Saccharomyces cerevisiae S288C: one gene and its partners. The protein of the gene in region 1 purifies or fractionates together with the protein of each later gene. This does not show direct contact. Each region holds a gene or a part of one and is shown in the gene's direction. Other genes may lie near its edges.

Region 1 (8,110 bases):
GAGAGTCTTTCTTCTCATCACTCGGACTTCTCCTATAAGTAGATTTATTACGTTTTGATTCCTGTTGTTCTTCATACATAGAATGTATGTCTGAAAACAGATCAGCAACTGTCATATGTATATATCGATGACGTGCGTAGCGTAAAAATTTGTATTCGCCAGATAGACCTCTCATAATGAATTGGCATGCTACCTTGTTATTGATAGGAATGCCATTGTTTTTTAGTCTGTCAAGAATGTTTGTGACTTCTGCTTCAAATGCATCTGCAGGTGTACTTCCATTATAATGCAAATTTGCTAGGGTCGTAATGTCATTTACCTCTTGAGTATCAGACTGCATTTTGTTAATGCTTTTGGAAAGAATTTTCATGATATCTGTATAATCAACAGATAAGATGTCTTTAACCCAGGTGGGTAAGAATTGAGATAGAGCAAATAGTTGAAAGGTGTGACATAAGAAGGTGAGTTCGTCATCAGTCATCTGACGTACGGCTTTTCTTGTTGCTGTCGGAATAATATCACCGAGATTCGAATTTTGTAAAAATTTGATGTATATTTTAACCCAATTTAGAAAGTCATTAGGTGAGGTTAAGATTGGCGGTGGTCTGACATGTTGATTAGTGGATGTCATATTAGACTTTGCTGAGGATGAATCAGGAAATGAATTACCTGACTCAGGTGACGGGGTGTTCAAATGTGTTCCAACATATTGTGGATATTGTGTAAACTGTGATTGTGCTCCAGGTGGAGCGTACATAGGTGACATTTGATAAGGTGGATACGGCATCAAAGATGGGTGCCCGTATACTGGCCAACCAGAAATATTGGCTTGTTGGGGAGTCATCATTCGCTGCTGTGGGTACGGCCCATTTTGTGGCAATGGTACTTGAGCAGCTTGAGGAGAGGCATGATGATGGTTCTCTGGAACAGCAGCTGAGGGAGGTGTTGTTGGCTGTTGAGAATTAGCCTGAGTGAAAACCTTCTCACATTCTTCTGTTTTGGAAGCTGAAATGTCTAACGGATCTTGAGTTGTTTGGACTTCTTTAGAAGTAACCGAAGCACAGGCGCTACCATGAGAAATGGGTGAATGTTGAGATAATTGTTGGGATTCCATTGTTGATAAAGGCTATAATATTAGGTATACAGAATATACTAGAAGTTCTCCTCGAGGGTCAGGAATCCCCATAATGGAATCTATATTTCTATATACCAATATTACGATTATTCCTCATTCTGTTTTATATGTTTCATTATCCTATTACATTATCAATCCTTGCACTTCAGCTTCCTCTAACTTCGATGACAGCTTCTCATAACTTATGTCATCATCTTAACACCGTATATGATAATATATTGATAATATAACTATTAGTTGATAGACGATAGTGGATTTTTATTCCAACACTATGTGTGTATTGTGTGTGCGTGTAATATAATCATTTCTAGTCATCTCTAGTCAAAGTAACTTATAAAAGCCTAAAAAAGGAGGATTTAACATGAATTGTCGGTCCTATAGTGTAGTGGTTATCACTTTCGGTTTTGATCCGGACAACCCCGGTTCGAATCCGGGTAGGACCTCTTTTTATTTTTACTCTAACAAATCAACATTGATATTTTTTGTTGATGTGTTAGAGTGGAGCCAACGATGCTCTTAAGATATACACTTTAGTACTTTTGAAGCTCTTACAGTTTTTTGATGTCGGAGAAGGCTTATACATATTGTTATTTTCCCTCTACAGGAAAGAAGGTGAACGTTTAGTTTTTATCAAGGCGCCGAGTAAATTTTATAATATCGAGGCGAGGGAAAAACAAAGCAACGAGAAAGGAAGCTCAAAGTTGGGATTTACATCATTTCTTTAAAAAGCATCATTGGCTTCTCTCCAATTGTTCAATAAACGCAGACTAATAGAAATTGAAGTCATTTTCCGGAGAAATATAAAATATTTTCTGCAACTAAGCTATACTCGATTTCTTTTAAGTTTCTCCAGAACCAATAAAAAGTAATATCTTAAACTGTTTCTTTCTCATTTTTTCCCCGAATTCCATTAAAGAAGATAAGAAACAAGTCTAAGTGCTACTATATCTGATGTCTGAACAGAATTCAGTAGTAAATGCTGAAAAAGGGGATGGCGAAATATCTTCAAATGTAGAGACTGCTTCTTCAGTCAATCCGTCTGTGAAACCACAGAATGCTATTAAAGAAGAAGCTAAAGAGACAAATGGTGAAGATCAAAAATGCAAAGGGCCAGAAAACGCTGGCAGTACGGCAGAAACAAAAGAAACAAGTAACGACGCTACCAACGGAATGAAAACGCCCGAAGAAACGGAAGATACAAATGACAAACGCCATGACGATGAAGGTGAAGATGGAGATGAAGATGAAGATGAAGATGAAGATGAAGATGAAGACAATGGGGACGAGGATGATGAGGACGTGGATAGCAGTAGTTCCGAAACCAGTTCCGAAGACGGGGAAGATTCTGAATCAGTCTCAGGGGAAAGTACTGAGAGTAGCTCTGGAGAAGATGAAGAATCTGATGAAAGCGATGGAAATACATCAAACAGCTCCTCTGGTGATGAAAGCGGGTCAGAAGAAGAAGAAGAAGAAGAAGAAGAAGAAGAAGAAGAGGAAAATGCTGGCGAACCAGCTATCGCTCATCAAGATAGTGTTCCCACCAACGATTCTACTGCCCCAAGGTCTACCCATACGAGGAACATATCACTATCTTCAAATGGTTCGAACACAAACTCAACCATAATTTTAGTGAAAACTACGTTGGAGACAATTTTAAATGATAAGGACATTAAAAAGAATTCGAATGCTCAGAAGGCTATCGAAAGGACATTACAAAAATTTAAGGAATTTGATCCGCAAACCACGAATAACCCACATTACGTGGATTCAATACTAGTATTCGAAGCACTAAGGGCAAGCTGTCGTACCAAATCCTCCAAAGTTCAAAGTTTGGCTTTAGATTGCCTGTCAAAATTGTTTTCTTTTAGATCGCTAGACGAGACCCTGTTAGTGAATCCACCCGATTCTTTAGCCTCTAATGATCAACGACAAGATGCTGCCGATGGAATAACGCCGCCTCCAAAACAAAAAATTATAGACGCTGCAATTGATACTATTTCAGACTGTTTTCAAGGTGAAGGCACTGATGACCGTGTGGAACTACAAATCGTTAGAGCTTTATCTAGTTGCATTTTAGAAGAGGATTCAAGTTCTTTATGCCACGGTGCTTCCTTGCTAAAGGCTATCAGAACAATCTACAACGTTTTCGTCTTTTCGTTGAACCCATCCAATCAAGGTATTGCACAGGCGACCTTGACACAAATTATTAGTTCGGTGTATGATAAAATCGATCTCAAACAAAGTACCTCTTCAGCAGTATCCTTATCGACAAAAAATCATCAACAACAATCCGCCATAGAACTTTCCGAGGCTTCTGAAAATGCAGAAACGCCGGCTCCTTTAACTCTGGAAAATATGGATAAGTTGAATGACGATGAGGAAAGACTAATGGACGCTCAACAGCCTGATTCTATCGCCATAACTAACCAAGATCTAGCTGTTAAAGATGCGTTCTTAGTGTTTAGAGTCATGGCGAAAATATGTGCTAAACCTTTGGAAACAGAACTCGACATGAGGTCACATGCCGTCAGGTCAAAGCTTTTATCTCTTCACATCATTTACTCTATTATCAAAGATCATATTGACGTATTCCTTTCCCACAACATTTTTCTACCAGGAAAGGAGCGTGTGTGCTTTATCGATTCAATTAGACAATATTTACGTCTTGTTTTATCAAGGAATGCTGCCTCGCCTCTAGCTCCAGTTTTCGAGGTTACTTTAGAAATTATGTGGCTATTGATTGCTAATTTGAGAGCAGATTTCGTGAAGGAAATTCCAGTTTTTTTAACAGAAATCTACTTCCCCATTTCAGAATTAACCACTTCCACCTCCCAACAAAAGAGATATTTTTTAAGTGTTATTCAACGAATTTGTAACGACCCAAGAACTTTAGTTGAATTTTACTTGAATTATGATTGTAACCCTGGAATGCCAAATGTAATGGAAATAACTGTTGATTATTTGACAAGATTGGCTTTAACTAGGGTGGAAATTACTCAGACTCAAAGATCATACTACGATGAACAAATATCAAAATCCCTGTCCACCTACAATTTCTCACAATTGCCCCTTTTGACTTCTTCCAACTTGTCTTCTAGTCCTGATGTTGGTCAAGTCAATTTACTTTTTCCACTTGATTTTGCTCTCAAAATGGTGTCACTAAATTGCATTGTGTCAGTTTTGCGTTCCTTAAGCTCATGGGCTCACAAAGCTTTAAATCCAAACACACACACTGCTAATAAGGTATTACTAAACACAACATCTTCAGCTCGTCAAGAATCTAGATCATCTTTGAGTAACGACGTAAGGTCTTCTATTATGACAAGTAATGATGACTTCAAACCAACATATGAAGACGAAGAAAGCAGATCATTGAGCAGTCAAAACATTGACGCAGACGACCCCACACAATTTGAAAATTTGAAACTAAGGAAAACTGCTTTATCGGAATGTATTGCTATTTTCAACAATAAACCCAAGAAAGCTATTCCAGTACTTATTAAAAAAGGATTTTTGAAAGATGATTCTCCAATTTCCATTGCCAAGTGGTTATTAGAAACAGAAGGCCTCGACATGGCCGCTGTTGGGGATTATCTAGGCGAAGGAGACGACAAGAACATCGCTATAATGCACGCATTTGTTGATGAGTTTGACTTCACTGGTATGTCCATTGTTGACGCATTAAGGTCATTTTTACAAAGTTTCAGATTGCCTGGAGAAGGTCAAAAAATTGACAGATTCATGCTGAAATTTGCGGAAAGATTTGTGGACCAAAACCCCGGAGTCTTTTCAAAGGCGGATACTGCATATGTGCTTTCGTATTCTTTGATCATGTTGAATACTGATTTACATTCGTCACAAATCAAAAATAAAATGTCTTTACAAGAGTTTTTAGAAAACAACGAAGGTATTGACAACGGAAGAGATTTACCAAGAGACTTCTTGGAAGGTTTGTTCAACGAAATTGCTAACAATGAAATCAAGTTAATTTCTGAACAGCATCAGGCAATGCTTTCAGGTGATACCAATCTTGTCCAACAACAGCAATCTGCTTTCAACTTCTTTAATTCTCGTGATTTGACAAGAGAGGCATATAATCAAGTCTCAAAAGAAATTTCATCTAAAACGGAATTAGTCTTTAAGAATTTAAACAAAAATAAAGGAGGCCCAGACGTCTATTATGCTGCTTCCCACGTTGAGCATGTTAAATCAATTTTCGAGACACTATGGATGTCCTTTTTAGCAGCTCTAACCCCCCCATTTAAGGATTATGATGACATTGACACAACCAATAAGTGTTTAGAAGGCTTGAAAATATCAATTAAAATTGCTTCTACTTTTAGAATCAATGATGCTAGAACCTCCTTTGTAGGTGCGTTAGTCCAATTTTGTAACCTTCAAAACCTTGAAGAAATCAAAGTTAAAAATGTCAATGCAATGGTAATTCTTCTTGAAGTCGCGTTATCAGAAGGAAATTACTTGGAGGGATCGTGGAAGGACATTTTGCTGGTCGTGTCTCAAATGGAAAGACTACAATTGATATCCAAAGGTATCGACAGAGATACGGTTCCAGATGTTGCACAAGCTCGTGTTGCAAACCCTAGAGTTTCTTACGAATCATCAAGATCCAATAATACATCTTTCTTTGATGTTTGGGGCAAGAAGGCAACTCCCACAGAATTGGCTCAAGAAAAACACCATAATCAAACCTTATCACCCGAAATCTCTAAATTCATTTCCTCCAGTGAATTAGTCGTTTTGATGGACAATATATTTACCAAAAGTTCCGAGTTATCAGGTAATGCTATCGTTGATTTTATCAAAGCTTTAACCGCTGTATCTTTAGAAGAAATTGAATCATCTGAAAATGCTTCCACACCAAGAATGTTTTCCTTGCAAAAAATGGTCGATGTATGTTACTACAATATGGATCGTATCAAACTAGAATGGACGCCGCTTTGGGCTGTTATGGGAAAAGCTTTCAACAAGATTGCTACAAACTCTAACTTAGCAGTAGTATTTTTCGCTATCGATTCCCTGCGTCAATTGTCTATGAGATTTTTAGATATTGAGGAATTATCAGGTTTTGAATTTCAACATGATTTTTTAAAACCTTTTGAATACACGGTTCAAAATAGTGGCAACACTGAAGTTCAAGAAATGATTATTGAGTGTTTTAGGAACTTCATATTGACAAAATCGGAAAGTATCAAATCTGGCTGGAAGCCTATTCTTGAATCCTTACAATATACGGCTCGCTCAAGCACTGAATCCATTGTATTAAAGACGCAATTGCTGGTTAGCAATGATATTGTGACAAATCACTTCGAAAACGTATTCTCTCAAGAAGATGCCTTTTCTGAGTTAGTTGGTGTCTTCAGAGAAATCACCAAAAATAAGAGATTCCAAAAGCTATCTCTACATGCTTTGGAGTCTCTAAGAAAGATGACTCAGAACGTCGCAGACATCTGTTTTTACAATGAAAATAAGACTGAAGAAGAAAGAAAACATAACGATGCTTTACTTCGTGGGAAAGACATATTCCAGGATGTGTGGTTCCCTATGTTATTCTGCTTCAATGATACGATCATGACAGCTGAAGACTTAGAAGTTAGATCACGTGCATTAAACTATATGTTCGATGCCCTAGTGGCATATGGTGGTAAATTCAATGATGATTTCTGGGAAAAGATTTGTAAGAAGTTACTATTTCCTATTTTCGGTGTATTATCCAAACATTGGGAAGTCAACCAATTCAATAGTCATGATGATTTAAGTGTTTGGCTTTCGACCACGTTAATTCAAGCCTTAAGGAACTTGATTGCCCTTTTTACGCATTACTTTGAATCGTTGAACAGAATGCTCGATGGATTTTTGGGTCTGCTGGTATCCTGTATTTGTCAAGAAAATGACACTATTGCTAGAATTGGGAGATCCTGCCTGCAACAATTGATATTGCAAAACGTATCTAAATTCAATGAGTACCATTGGAATCAAATAGGTGACGTATTCGATAAATTGTTTGATTTAACCACTGCTAATGAATTGTTCGATTATGATCCGTTACAGCAAGGAAGAAAATCATCTGTATCTCATCACCAAACAACTAATGATACCAGCCAACACTCAGATGATGATAGCAACGACAGAAGGGAGAACGATTCTAATATCAGTGAGACGGTCGAAAGAGCGCATCAAGAAGAATCCAGCGAAGACGTTGGTGGTGACATGGTTGAAACACTCAATGGGCAAACTAAGCTTAATAATGGCAATTCCGTTCCGACGGTAAAGGACGAATTGAATCCAAAGCCCGCTAGTCTAAGTATCCCCAAGAAAACTAAGCACATGAAACGAAACGAAAGTAACGAAGATATACGTAGGAGAATAAACATCAAGAATTCTATTGTTGTCAAATGTGTTTTACAGCTTTTGATGATAGAGCTGCTCAACGAATTATTCGAGAACGAAGATTTTGCCCACTGTATCCCTTACAAGGAAGCCATTAGAATTACAAGATTGTTGGAGAAATCGTACGAATTTTCTCGTGACTTTAATGAAGATTATGGGTTAAGAACAAGACTAGTAGAGGCTCGTGTAGTTGATAAAATACCAAACCTGTTGAAACAAGAAACGAGTGCTGCTGCAGTTCTCCTTGACATTATGTTTCAGTTGTATCTGAACGATGATGAGAAGAAGGCTGATTTAATAACTCGTCTGATCACCATTTGCATCCAGGTCGTAGAGGGTTATGTTTCTTTGGATGATAGAACCATGGAACGTAGTATCAATGCCTGGCGTTCAGTGATAGTTGAAATATTACAAGGTTACTACGAATTTGATGATGAAGACTTTAGACTATACTGTCCTGCTATGTATGCTCTGGTGATTCAAATATTAGATAAGAGCGTTCCAACGGAGTTGAGACATGCTATAAAACAATTTCTAAGCAGAGTTGGTGAATTATACCTTTCTACT
Region 2 (5,304 bases), on another chromosome or scaffold:
AAAACATTTCTACTGAGCAAAACCTTCTTTCTGTATTATGCTTCTTAACGTGTAATGATCCTAAACAAACGGTGGATTTTTTGTCTAGTTTCCAAATTGACAATACTGATGCTTTGACATTGGTGATGCGAAAATGGATAGAAGCCTTTGAAGTCATTAGAGGTGAAAAAAGAATCAAAGAAAATATCGTTGCTTTGAGCAACCTTTTCTTCCTGAACGACAAAAGGCTACAGAAAGTGGTTGTCAATGGTAACTTGATACCATACGAAGGGGACCTGATCATTACAAGATCAATGGCTAAGAAAATGCCAGACAGGTATGTACAAGTTCCACTTTATACCAAGATCATTAAATTGTTTGTTTCTGAGTTAAGCTTCCAAAGTAAACAACCGAATCCAGAACAATTGATCACAAGCGATATTAAGCAAGAAGTGGTAAATGCTAATAAAGATGACGACAATGATGATTGGGAAGATGTAGATGATGTACTCGATTACGATAAGTTGAAAGAATATATTGATGATGATGTCGATGAAGAAGCAGACGACGATTCAGACGATATAACGGGACTCATGGACGTGAAGGAATCTGTTGTTCAGCTACTGGTAAGATTCTTTAAAGAGGTTGCAAGCAAAGATGTGAGTGGCTTCCATTGTATTTACGAGACTCTATCCGACAGTGAACGTAAAGTTCTTTCAGAAGCCCTTTTGTAGCTTATATACATAAGCCGTGGAGATATCAGATGTAAAGTAGTTAGAGTAGAAAAAATGCGGCAAAATAAGCGCCGTCTATATAAAAGAAAGAAAGTGTTAAATAAACTGACCACAGAAGGTGGCAAAAATAATACGAGATTTAGAAGTCAGATAATGGACCCGATTGGAATAAACAAAGTCTTGGACCATTTAGCACCCTCAGAGCTTATCAAACCTGTTAAGAGTTGCCATAATAAACCTTCAGTGTTGGTGTTGGATGACAGGATTGTGGATGCGGCAACCAAAGATCTCTACGTGAATGGGTTCCAAGAAGAGATTCAGTATCAGAATCCTACACCGGAGAACTTGCAACATATGTTCCACCAAGGTATTGAAATATTGGATTCGGCAAGGATGATCAACGTGACACATTTAGCGCTTTGGAAGCCTTCTTCTTTTAAGTTGGGGAATCCTGTGGACTTTGCTCTAGATGATAACTACGATACGTTTTGGCAGAGCGATGGAGGGCAACCACACCAATTGGACATTATGTTTAGTAAGAGAATGGACATCTGTGTCATGGCAATATTCTTTTCGATGATTGCGGACGAGTCCTATGCTCCAAGCTTAGTGAAAGTTTACGCGGGGCATAGTCCTTCTGATGCGAGGTTTTATAAGATGCTTGAAGTGAGAAATGTGAATGGCTGGGTGGCACTAAGGTTTCTAGATAATAGGGAGGACGACCAGCTGCTGAAATGTCAATTCATCAGGCTTTTGTTTCCAGTCAACCATGAAAACGGAAAAGATACACATCTGAGAGGCATAAGGCTATATGTTCCATCTAATGAGCCACATCAAGATACCCATGAGTGGGCACAGACCCTCCCAGAAACTAACAATGTCTTCCAGGATGCTATATTACGTTAATAATATGCCGTTTATGATATTTTCTTCCTTGCTATTACCCTGCCTTTTGCTTTTTTTTTTTCACTTCAATTGCAGGGATTATGGAATAAAAAAAAAGTTGAAAGTAGTATAAACACAAGATCAAAAAGTGGCAAAGAGGACCCGCTCTGTTTATTGCTACTCAATTGTAGAAGAGAAAATAGTAGGATGTCCGATTTGGAAACCGTAGCTAAATTTCTGGCCGAATCAGTTATTGCTTCTACCGCTAAAACTTCGGAAAGAAATTTGAGGCAGTTGGAGACGCAAGATGGATTCGGTTTAACTTTATTGCACGTTATTGCTTCCACAAACCTGCCGTTATCCACCAGATTAGCAGGTGCTTTGTTCTTCAAAAATTTCATCAAGCGCAAGTGGGTAGATGAAAATGGTAATCATTTGCTGCCGGCTAACAACGTAGAACTGATCAAAAAGGAAATCGTTCCTTTAATGATCAGTCTACCAAATAATTTGCAGGTCCAAATAGGAGAGGCAATTTCCAGTATTGCTGACTCTGATTTTCCTGATAGGTGGCCTACACTTTTGAGTGATTTAGCTTCCAGATTGAGTAATGATGATATGGTGACGAATAAAGGTGTCCTTACAGTGGCACATTCTATTTTTAAAAGATGGAGACCTTTATTTAGATCAGATGAACTTTTTTTGGAGATTAAATTGGTTCTTGACGTGTTTACTGCTCCATTTTTGAACTTATTGAAAACGGTCGATGAACAGATAACAGCGAATGAAAATAACAAGGCATCGCTAAATATTTTATTTGATGTATTGCTAGTATTAATTAAACTATACTACGATTTTAATTGTCAAGATATACCAGAGTTTTTTGAGGATAACATTCAAGTGGGTATGGGTATCTTCCATAAGTATTTGTCATATTCTAATCCTTTATTGGAAGACCCTGACGAAACTGAACATGCGTCTGTCCTAATAAAAGTAAAGTCCTCTATCCAGGAGCTGGTTCAATTGTACACAACAAGATATGAAGATGTCTTTGGACCTATGATCAATGAATTCATACAAATAACTTGGAATCTTCTGACCTCAATTTCAAACCAACCTAAATACGACATCTTAGTATCCAAGTCCTTGTCATTTTTGACTGCAGTAACACGTATTCCAAAATACTTTGAAATATTCAACAACGAATCTGCCATGAATAATATCACAGAACAAATCATTCTGCCAAATGTTACACTACGTGAGGAAGATGTTGAACTTTTTGAAGACGATCCAATTGAATATATCCGTAGAGATCTGGAAGGTTCAGATACCGACACTAGAAGAAGGGCATGTACTGATTTCTTGAAGGAATTGAAGGAAAAAAATGAAGTGTTAGTCACAAATATTTTTTTGGCGCATATGAAAGGGTTCGTTGACCAGTACATGAGTGATCCATCCAAAAATTGGAAATTTAAAGATCTTTATATTTATCTATTCACTGCATTGGCCATTAATGGGAATATTACCAATGCCGGTGTTTCATCCACAAACAACTTACTAAATGTTGTAGATTTTTTCACCAAGGAAATTGCCCCGGACCTTACTTCCAACAATATTCCTCATATTATTTTGAGAGTGGATGCCATAAAATATATCTACACTTTCAGAAATCAGTTGACCAAAGCTCAGTTGATTGAACTAATGCCCATTTTGGCCACCTTCTTACAAACAGATGAATATGTTGTCTACACGTATGCTGCCATTACTATTGAAAAAATTTTGACTATTAGAGAATCAAATACGTCTCCTGCTTTTATTTTTCATAAGGAAGATATTTCGAATAGTACAGAAATTCTTTTGAAAAATCTTATTGCATTAATCTTGAAGCATGGCAGCTCCCCTGAAAAACTAGCTGAAAACGAATTTTTAATGAGATCAATCTTTAGAGTTTTGCAGACGTCAGAAGATTCCATTCAACCTTTATTTCCTCAGTTGTTGGCACAATTTATTGAAATTGTAACGATAATGGCAAAGAACCCATCAAATCCAAGATTTACTCATTACACTTTTGAATCTATTGGTGCCATCTTGAATTACACTCAAAGACAAAACTTACCACTACTTGTAGATTCTATGATGCCAACATTTTTAACGGTTTTCTCCGAGGATATTCAAGAATTCATTCCATATGTGTTCCAAATCATCGCATTTGTTGTTGAGCAGTCTGCAACAATTCCAGAAAGTATCAAGCCGTTGGCACAACCTTTATTAGCACCAAATGTATGGGAATTGAAAGGTAATATTCCTGCCGTGACAAGGCTACTAAAGAGTTTTATAAAGACAGATTCATCGATCTTCCCCGATCTAGTCCCTGTTTTAGGTATTTTTCAAAGATTGATCGCATCAAAGGCTTATGAAGTTCATGGGTTTGACTTATTAGAGCACATCATGCTTCTAATCGACATGAACCGCTTGAGACCATATATTAAACAAATCGCAGTTTTATTATTACAAAGATTACAGAACTCTAAAACAGAAAGGTATGTTAAAAAATTAACGGTATTTTTTGGTTTGATATCTAATAAATTAGGCTCTGATTTTTTGATCCACTTTATTGACGAAGTGCAAGATGGGCTTTTTCAACAAATATGGGGTAATTTTATTATTACCACATTACCTACTATTGGTAACCTGCTAGATCGTAAAATTGCATTAATTGGTGTTTTGAACATGGTTATAAACGGCCAATTTTTCCAAAGCAAATATCCAACTTTGATTTCAAGCACAATGAATTCCATTATAGAGACAGCATCATCACAAAGTATTGCAAACTTGAAAAACGATTATGTTGATTTAGATAACTTGGAGGAAATCTCCACGTTTGGTTCTCATTTCAGTAAGTTGGTTAGTATTAGCGAAAAACCATTCGATCCTTTGCCTGAAATCGATGTCAATAATGGTGTGAGATTATATGTTGCTGAAGCACTAAACAAATATAATGCTATCTCTGGGAATACATTTTTAAATACCATTTTGCCTCAATTGACCCAAGAAAATCAAGTAAAATTAAATCAATTATTAGTTGGTAATTAACATGGTGTAGAGAATTATATATAGATGAAAATGGAGCTCTTTTGAATAGCTGTTTATATGTAGATAGAGTAAGCAAAAATGAAAAAAGAAAAGCACGTAAATACGATCGCAATATGGTTTCTTTTCCAGCGGAGTACATAGGTCTGTTAGAAATGAAACGAAACGAAACGAAACGAGATTGGTAAAAGTACATATACATATTGATTCAGATTAAATAGGCCATATGGATACCATGTGGTATAAGAGGGCACTTTTAGTTCTTTTAGGAATGATATTAACATTGGAATATTACAAAATTATGTTTTTTTGTCTGCTGCAGCTGCGGTGGAAGTAGCATGCGGCTGTTCTTGTATTATTTTAGTAGTGATTTTTTTATCCTCATGACTATCGTCAGGATCATCGCTAGCCCCACTTTTCTTCGATTTCATGGCTTTGATCTCAGCGGCTGTCAAGAACCTCCCACCTTCACCACGAGGTCTTCGCATCGCATGTTTATGTCGAGATTCGTGTAAGTATGGCTTTCGTTCTCTTGATATTCGTAGCTTTTCCTCTAGTTTAGCTCTTGCATATCGCCTTTTCAAAATTCGGTAGTACTGCTTGGCATTAACATAAAATG
Region 3 (4,635 bases), on another chromosome or scaffold:
AAGAATTGCTGTTGCTCCCTATGGAGGTACACTGAATGAATTGTGGCTAGACAGAGACCTAGGTATTGGTGGTCGCCTTCTTTACAAGAAGAAGGGCACTAACGAAATTAAAAGCGCCTTGGTTGATTCTACACCCCTACCTGTTTGTCGAATTCCTTCCTTGGCTCCCCATTTCGGTAAACCTGCTGAAGGCCCATTTGATAAAGAGGACCAAACTATCCCGGTCATCGGCTTCCCCACTCCGGATGAGGAAGGTAATGAACCTCCCACGGATGATGAAAAGAAATCGCCCTTATTTGGCAAACACTGCATCCACCTGTTAAGGTACGTTGCCAAATTAGCCGGTGTGGAAGTGTCCGAATTGATTCAAATGGATTTAGACTTATTCGATGTGCAAAAGGGTACCATTGGAGGTATTGGTAAACACTTCCTTTTTGCACCACGTCTAGATGACAGGTTGTGTAGTTTCGCAGCAATGATTGCTTTGATTTGCTACGCTAAGGATGTTAATACCGAGGAATCAGATTTATTCTCTACTGTCACTTTGTATGATAATGAAGAAATCGGATCGTTGACAAGACAAGGCGCAAAAGGTGGCTTGTTGGAGTCAGTGGTGGAACGCAGTTCTTCTGCATTCACTAAGAAACCGGTCGATTTGCATACGGTTTGGGCTAATTCCATCATCTTGTCCGCAGACGTCAACCACCTCTACAACCCAAACTTTCCTGAAGTCTATTTGAAGAATCATTTTCCAGTGCCTAATGTCGGAATCACTTTATCACTGGATCCTAACGGTCATATGGCCACAGATGTCGTAGGAACTGCCCTAGTAGAAGAATTAGCACGCCGCAATGGAGACAAAGTGCAATATTTCCAAATCAAAAACAACTCAAGATCAGGTGGTACTATCGGCCCATCATTGGCTTCTCAAACAGGTGCTCGTACCATAGACCTGGGAATTGCACAGTTGTCCATGCACAGCATCAGAGCTGCTACAGGGTCCAAGGATGTCGGATTAGGTGTTAAGTTCTTCAACGGATTTTTCAAGCACTGGAGATCAGTCTACGATGAATTCGGCGAGTTGTGATTTTGCCACACTCTTTTTATTTCTTTTGATTTCTGTTTCTTTATCCTTTTTCTAAAAATACTTTTATTTCGAATCAGGAAGAAAAGAAAAATGTATAAAAAAAAAAAAATAAAACACCACAATCGTCAAGATATAAATATCTATTTATAAATAAAACATCAAAAATACCTAAACCCCAAACATTCTACTAGGAAAGAATATTAACAGTAACCACGAACTATAAAAAATGCATTTGAACACCAATGTGGGCCTTGACAGCCGTATTAGATGAAACAAACCACATACTTTTCTTGATTAGCCAAGCATTCTTTCTTTTGTGACGCCGTCGATCACTCAAATATCAATCCGGGTAACGCGCGGCTCCCTACATTTTCTTCGATTTTTATCTTTTTTTCACAAATCGAAAACATTAGACTTCCTCTTTGGGAAATCGGATGCATTTTAGCGTTTCTGAGGCGACTTTTCCTCTTCTTAAAATATTTATTTAGTGTCTTACATTCGACCCTTTTCGCCTTTCTGCTTTATTTTTGGAACACGTACTTCTTTTCGCTTACAAGAAAGCATTCTCAGTCATCCATCACACTTATTTTCACTGCAAAGTTACAGAACCGGTGTCCTTTCCAACATCATAGTTATATAGTTGAGAAAAAGTGGACAAAAAGCCAGCATAAACAAGGAATAACTGTATTTCTTTTCTTATATAGTTATCAGGGCCAAATAAGCAATAAGTTCTCGAGCAAATCAACAGCAACTTTTATAAAAAAATGTGTGGTATCTTTGGTTACTGCAATTATCTAGTGGAAAGATCCAGAGGAGAAATTATCGACACCTTAGTGGATGGTTTACAAAGATTAGAATATAGAGGCTATGATTCCACCGGTATTGCTATCGATGGTGACGAAGCTGATTCTACTTTCATCTATAAGCAAATCGGTAAAGTGAGTGCTTTGAAAGAGGAGATTACTAAGCAAAATCCGAACAGAGACGTTACTTTTGTCTCTCATTGTGGTATTGCGCATACTAGATGGGCTACTCACGGTCGACCAGAACAAGTTAACTGTCACCCTCAAAGATCTGACCCAGAAGACCAATTTGTGGTCGTTCATAATGGTATCATCACAAATTTTAGAGAACTGAAGACTCTTTTAATTAACAAAGGTTATAAATTCGAAAGTGATACCGATACCGAGTGTATTGCTAAACTATATTTGCATTTATACAATACAAATTTACAAAATGGGCATGACTTAGATTTCCACGAATTAACCAAGCTAGTTCTTTTAGAACTAGAAGGTTCATACGGGTTATTATGTAAATCTTGTCACTATCCTAATGAGGTTATCGCCACTAGAAAAGGGTCCCCTTTACTGATTGGTGTCAAATCTGAAAAAAAACTAAAAGTCGACTTCGTGGATGTGGAATTTCCCGAAGAAAACGCTGGTCAACCGGAAATTCCATTGAAATCTAACAACAAATCATTTGGCTTGGGCCCAAAGAAAGCTCGTGAATTTGAAGCTGGTTCCCAAAATGCCAATTTACTACCAATTGCCGCCAATGAATTTAACTTGAGACATTCTCAATCCAGGGCTTTCCTATCAGAAGATGGATCTCCAACACCGGTGGAATTTTTTGTTTCTTCGGATGCGGCATCTGTTGTTAAACATACCAAGAAGGTGCTATTTTTAGAAGATGACGATTTGGCTCATATTTACGATGGTGAGTTACATATTCATAGATCTAGAAGAGAAGTAGGCGCATCAATGACAAGGTCCATTCAAACTTTAGAGATGGAGTTAGCTCAGATCATGAAGGGCCCTTACGACCATTTTATGCAAAAGGAAATCTATGAGCAACCAGAATCTACTTTCAATACTATGAGAGGTAGAATCGACTATGAAAATAATAAAGTGATATTGGGTGGTTTAAAGGCATGGTTACCAGTTGTCAGAAGAGCACGGAGACTGATCATGATCGCATGCGGTACTTCTTATCATTCATGTTTGGCTACTCGTGCTATCTTCGAAGAATTATCAGATATCCCAGTTAGTGTGGAATTAGCGTCTGACTTTCTGGACAGAAAATGCCCTGTCTTCAGAGACGATGTATGCGTGTTTGTTTCACAAAGTGGTGAAACTGCGGATACCATGCTGGCTCTAAATTATTGTTTAGAAAGAGGAGCCTTAACTGTCGGAATTGTTAACAGTGTTGGTTCTTCTATCTCTCGTGTCACCCACTGTGGTGTTCATATTAACGCTGGTCCTGAAATTGGTGTTGCCTCTACAAAAGCTTATACTTCCCAGTATATTGCCTTAGTGATGTTTGCTCTATCGCTGTCAGATGACCGTGTATCGAAAATAGACAGAAGAATTGAAATCATTCAAGGCTTGAAGTTAATCCCGGGCCAAATTAAGCAGGTATTAAAGCTGGAACCAAGAATAAAAAAGCTCTGTGCGACTGAATTAAAGGATCAAAAATCTCTATTGTTATTGGGTAGAGGTTACCAATTTGCTGCTGCTCTGGAAGGTGCTTTGAAGATCAAAGAAATTTCTTATATGCATTCTGAAGGTGTTTTGGCAGGTGAGTTGAAGCACGGTGTCTTGGCCTTGGTGGACGAAAACTTGCCAATCATTGCTTTTGGTACCAGAGACTCTCTATTCCCTAAAGTAGTTTCCTCTATTGAGCAAGTTACTGCAAGAAAGGGCCATCCAATTATTATTTGTAACGAAAATGATGAAGTGTGGGCGCAAAAATCTAAATCAATCGACCTGCAAACCTTAGAAGTTCCACAAACTGTTGATTGTTTACAAGGTCTAATTAATATTATTCCATTACAACTAATGTCATATTGGTTGGCTGTTAATAAAGGGATTGATGTTGATTTTCCAAGAAACTTGGCTAAATCTGTTACCGTCGAATAAATTAACCCTTTTACTTTCTCTTCGTCCCCCAGCCTCCCATCCGTCTTTCTACTATCACTTCTCCTTCGCTTTTAATTTTTGAACTTCCATTATTCTGCAATGCGCACTACAAGCTGGCGTTAAAGATGATTCCACTTGTATTCTCTATATAAATAAAAAATTATATTTTATATGAATAACCAAAAAGATAGTTGCAGCCCTAAATTAGACCTGCTAAATAAATGTGTTCTAACTTTGTTACAATTTTTAAACCATATAACTTCCTTCTTGTAAGTCCTCTAAAATAATATTAAACCCTATCCTGAGTTGGGCCCTGCGTTTTACCCGCAGGAATAGGCCCGATGATTGATTATCCACATCAACTTTTGGTGAAATTCGAGAGAAAATAAATGGGAAGTGAACGAGCAATAGGCAATCAACAAAAAAAAAAAAGGGTTAGGAAATTCGCTATTGTAAAGAGGCAATTTTTAAAATTTAGAGTGAAAATCGCCATTCCATCTTCTTCATATTCTTCGTTCAAATTACACAATTATTGCGGGAGGAAATAGCATTTATTAACCCTAATAATCAACATAAGGCAGATAGCTCTGAAAGAGGCAAGTATCAACAAATAGTGGGAGCATTGGAAAT

Evidence for each region.
Region 2: the proteins of SEC7 (region 1) and CSE1 purify together in Saccharomyces cerevisiae (affinity purification with mass spectrometry, with the first as the bait; 2 studies listed by BioGRID). This does not show direct contact.
Region 3: the proteins of SEC7 (region 1) and GFA1 purify together in Saccharomyces cerevisiae (affinity purification with mass spectrometry, with the first as the bait; 2 studies listed by BioGRID). This does not show direct contact.

What each region holds. Positions count from the first base shown.
Region 1 is NC_001136.10:796,199-804,308, reverse strand, and holds the start of SEC7 (Arf family guanine nucleotide exchange factor SEC7), read left to right. Parts: upstream 1-2,086; coding exon 2,087-8,110. Other genes in the region: YDR170W-A (gag protein), read right to left, coding at 1-1,114. UniProt on the Saccharomyces cerevisiae protein: Guanine exchange factor that acts as an activator of ARF1 at the trans-Golgi network and is thus involved in vesicular budding and traffic between compartments of the Golgi apparatus.
Region 2 is NC_001139.9:47,747-53,050, forward strand, and holds CSE1 (importin-alpha export receptor), read left to right. Parts: upstream 1-1,805; coding exon 1,806-4,688; downstream 4,689-5,304. Other genes in the region: karyopherin KAP114, read left to right, coding at 1-713; anaphase promoting complex subunit DOC1, read left to right, coding at 867-1,619; transcription activator HAP2, read right to left, coding at 4,985-5,304. UniProt on the Saccharomyces cerevisiae protein: Export receptor for importin alpha (SRP1). Mediates importin-alpha re-export from the nucleus to the cytoplasm after import substrates have been released into the nucleoplasm.
Region 3 is NC_001143.9:242,590-247,224, reverse strand, and holds GFA1 (glutamine--fructose-6-phosphate transaminase (isomerizing) GFA1), read left to right. Parts: upstream 1-1,851; coding exon 1,852-4,005; downstream 4,006-4,635. Other genes in the region: metalloaminopeptidase APE1, read left to right, coding at 1-1,087; YKL104W-A (uncharacterized protein), read right to left, coding at 1,939-2,193. UniProt on the Saccharomyces cerevisiae protein: Involved in amino sugar synthesis (formation of chitin, supplies the amino sugars of asparagine-linked oligosaccharides of glycoproteins).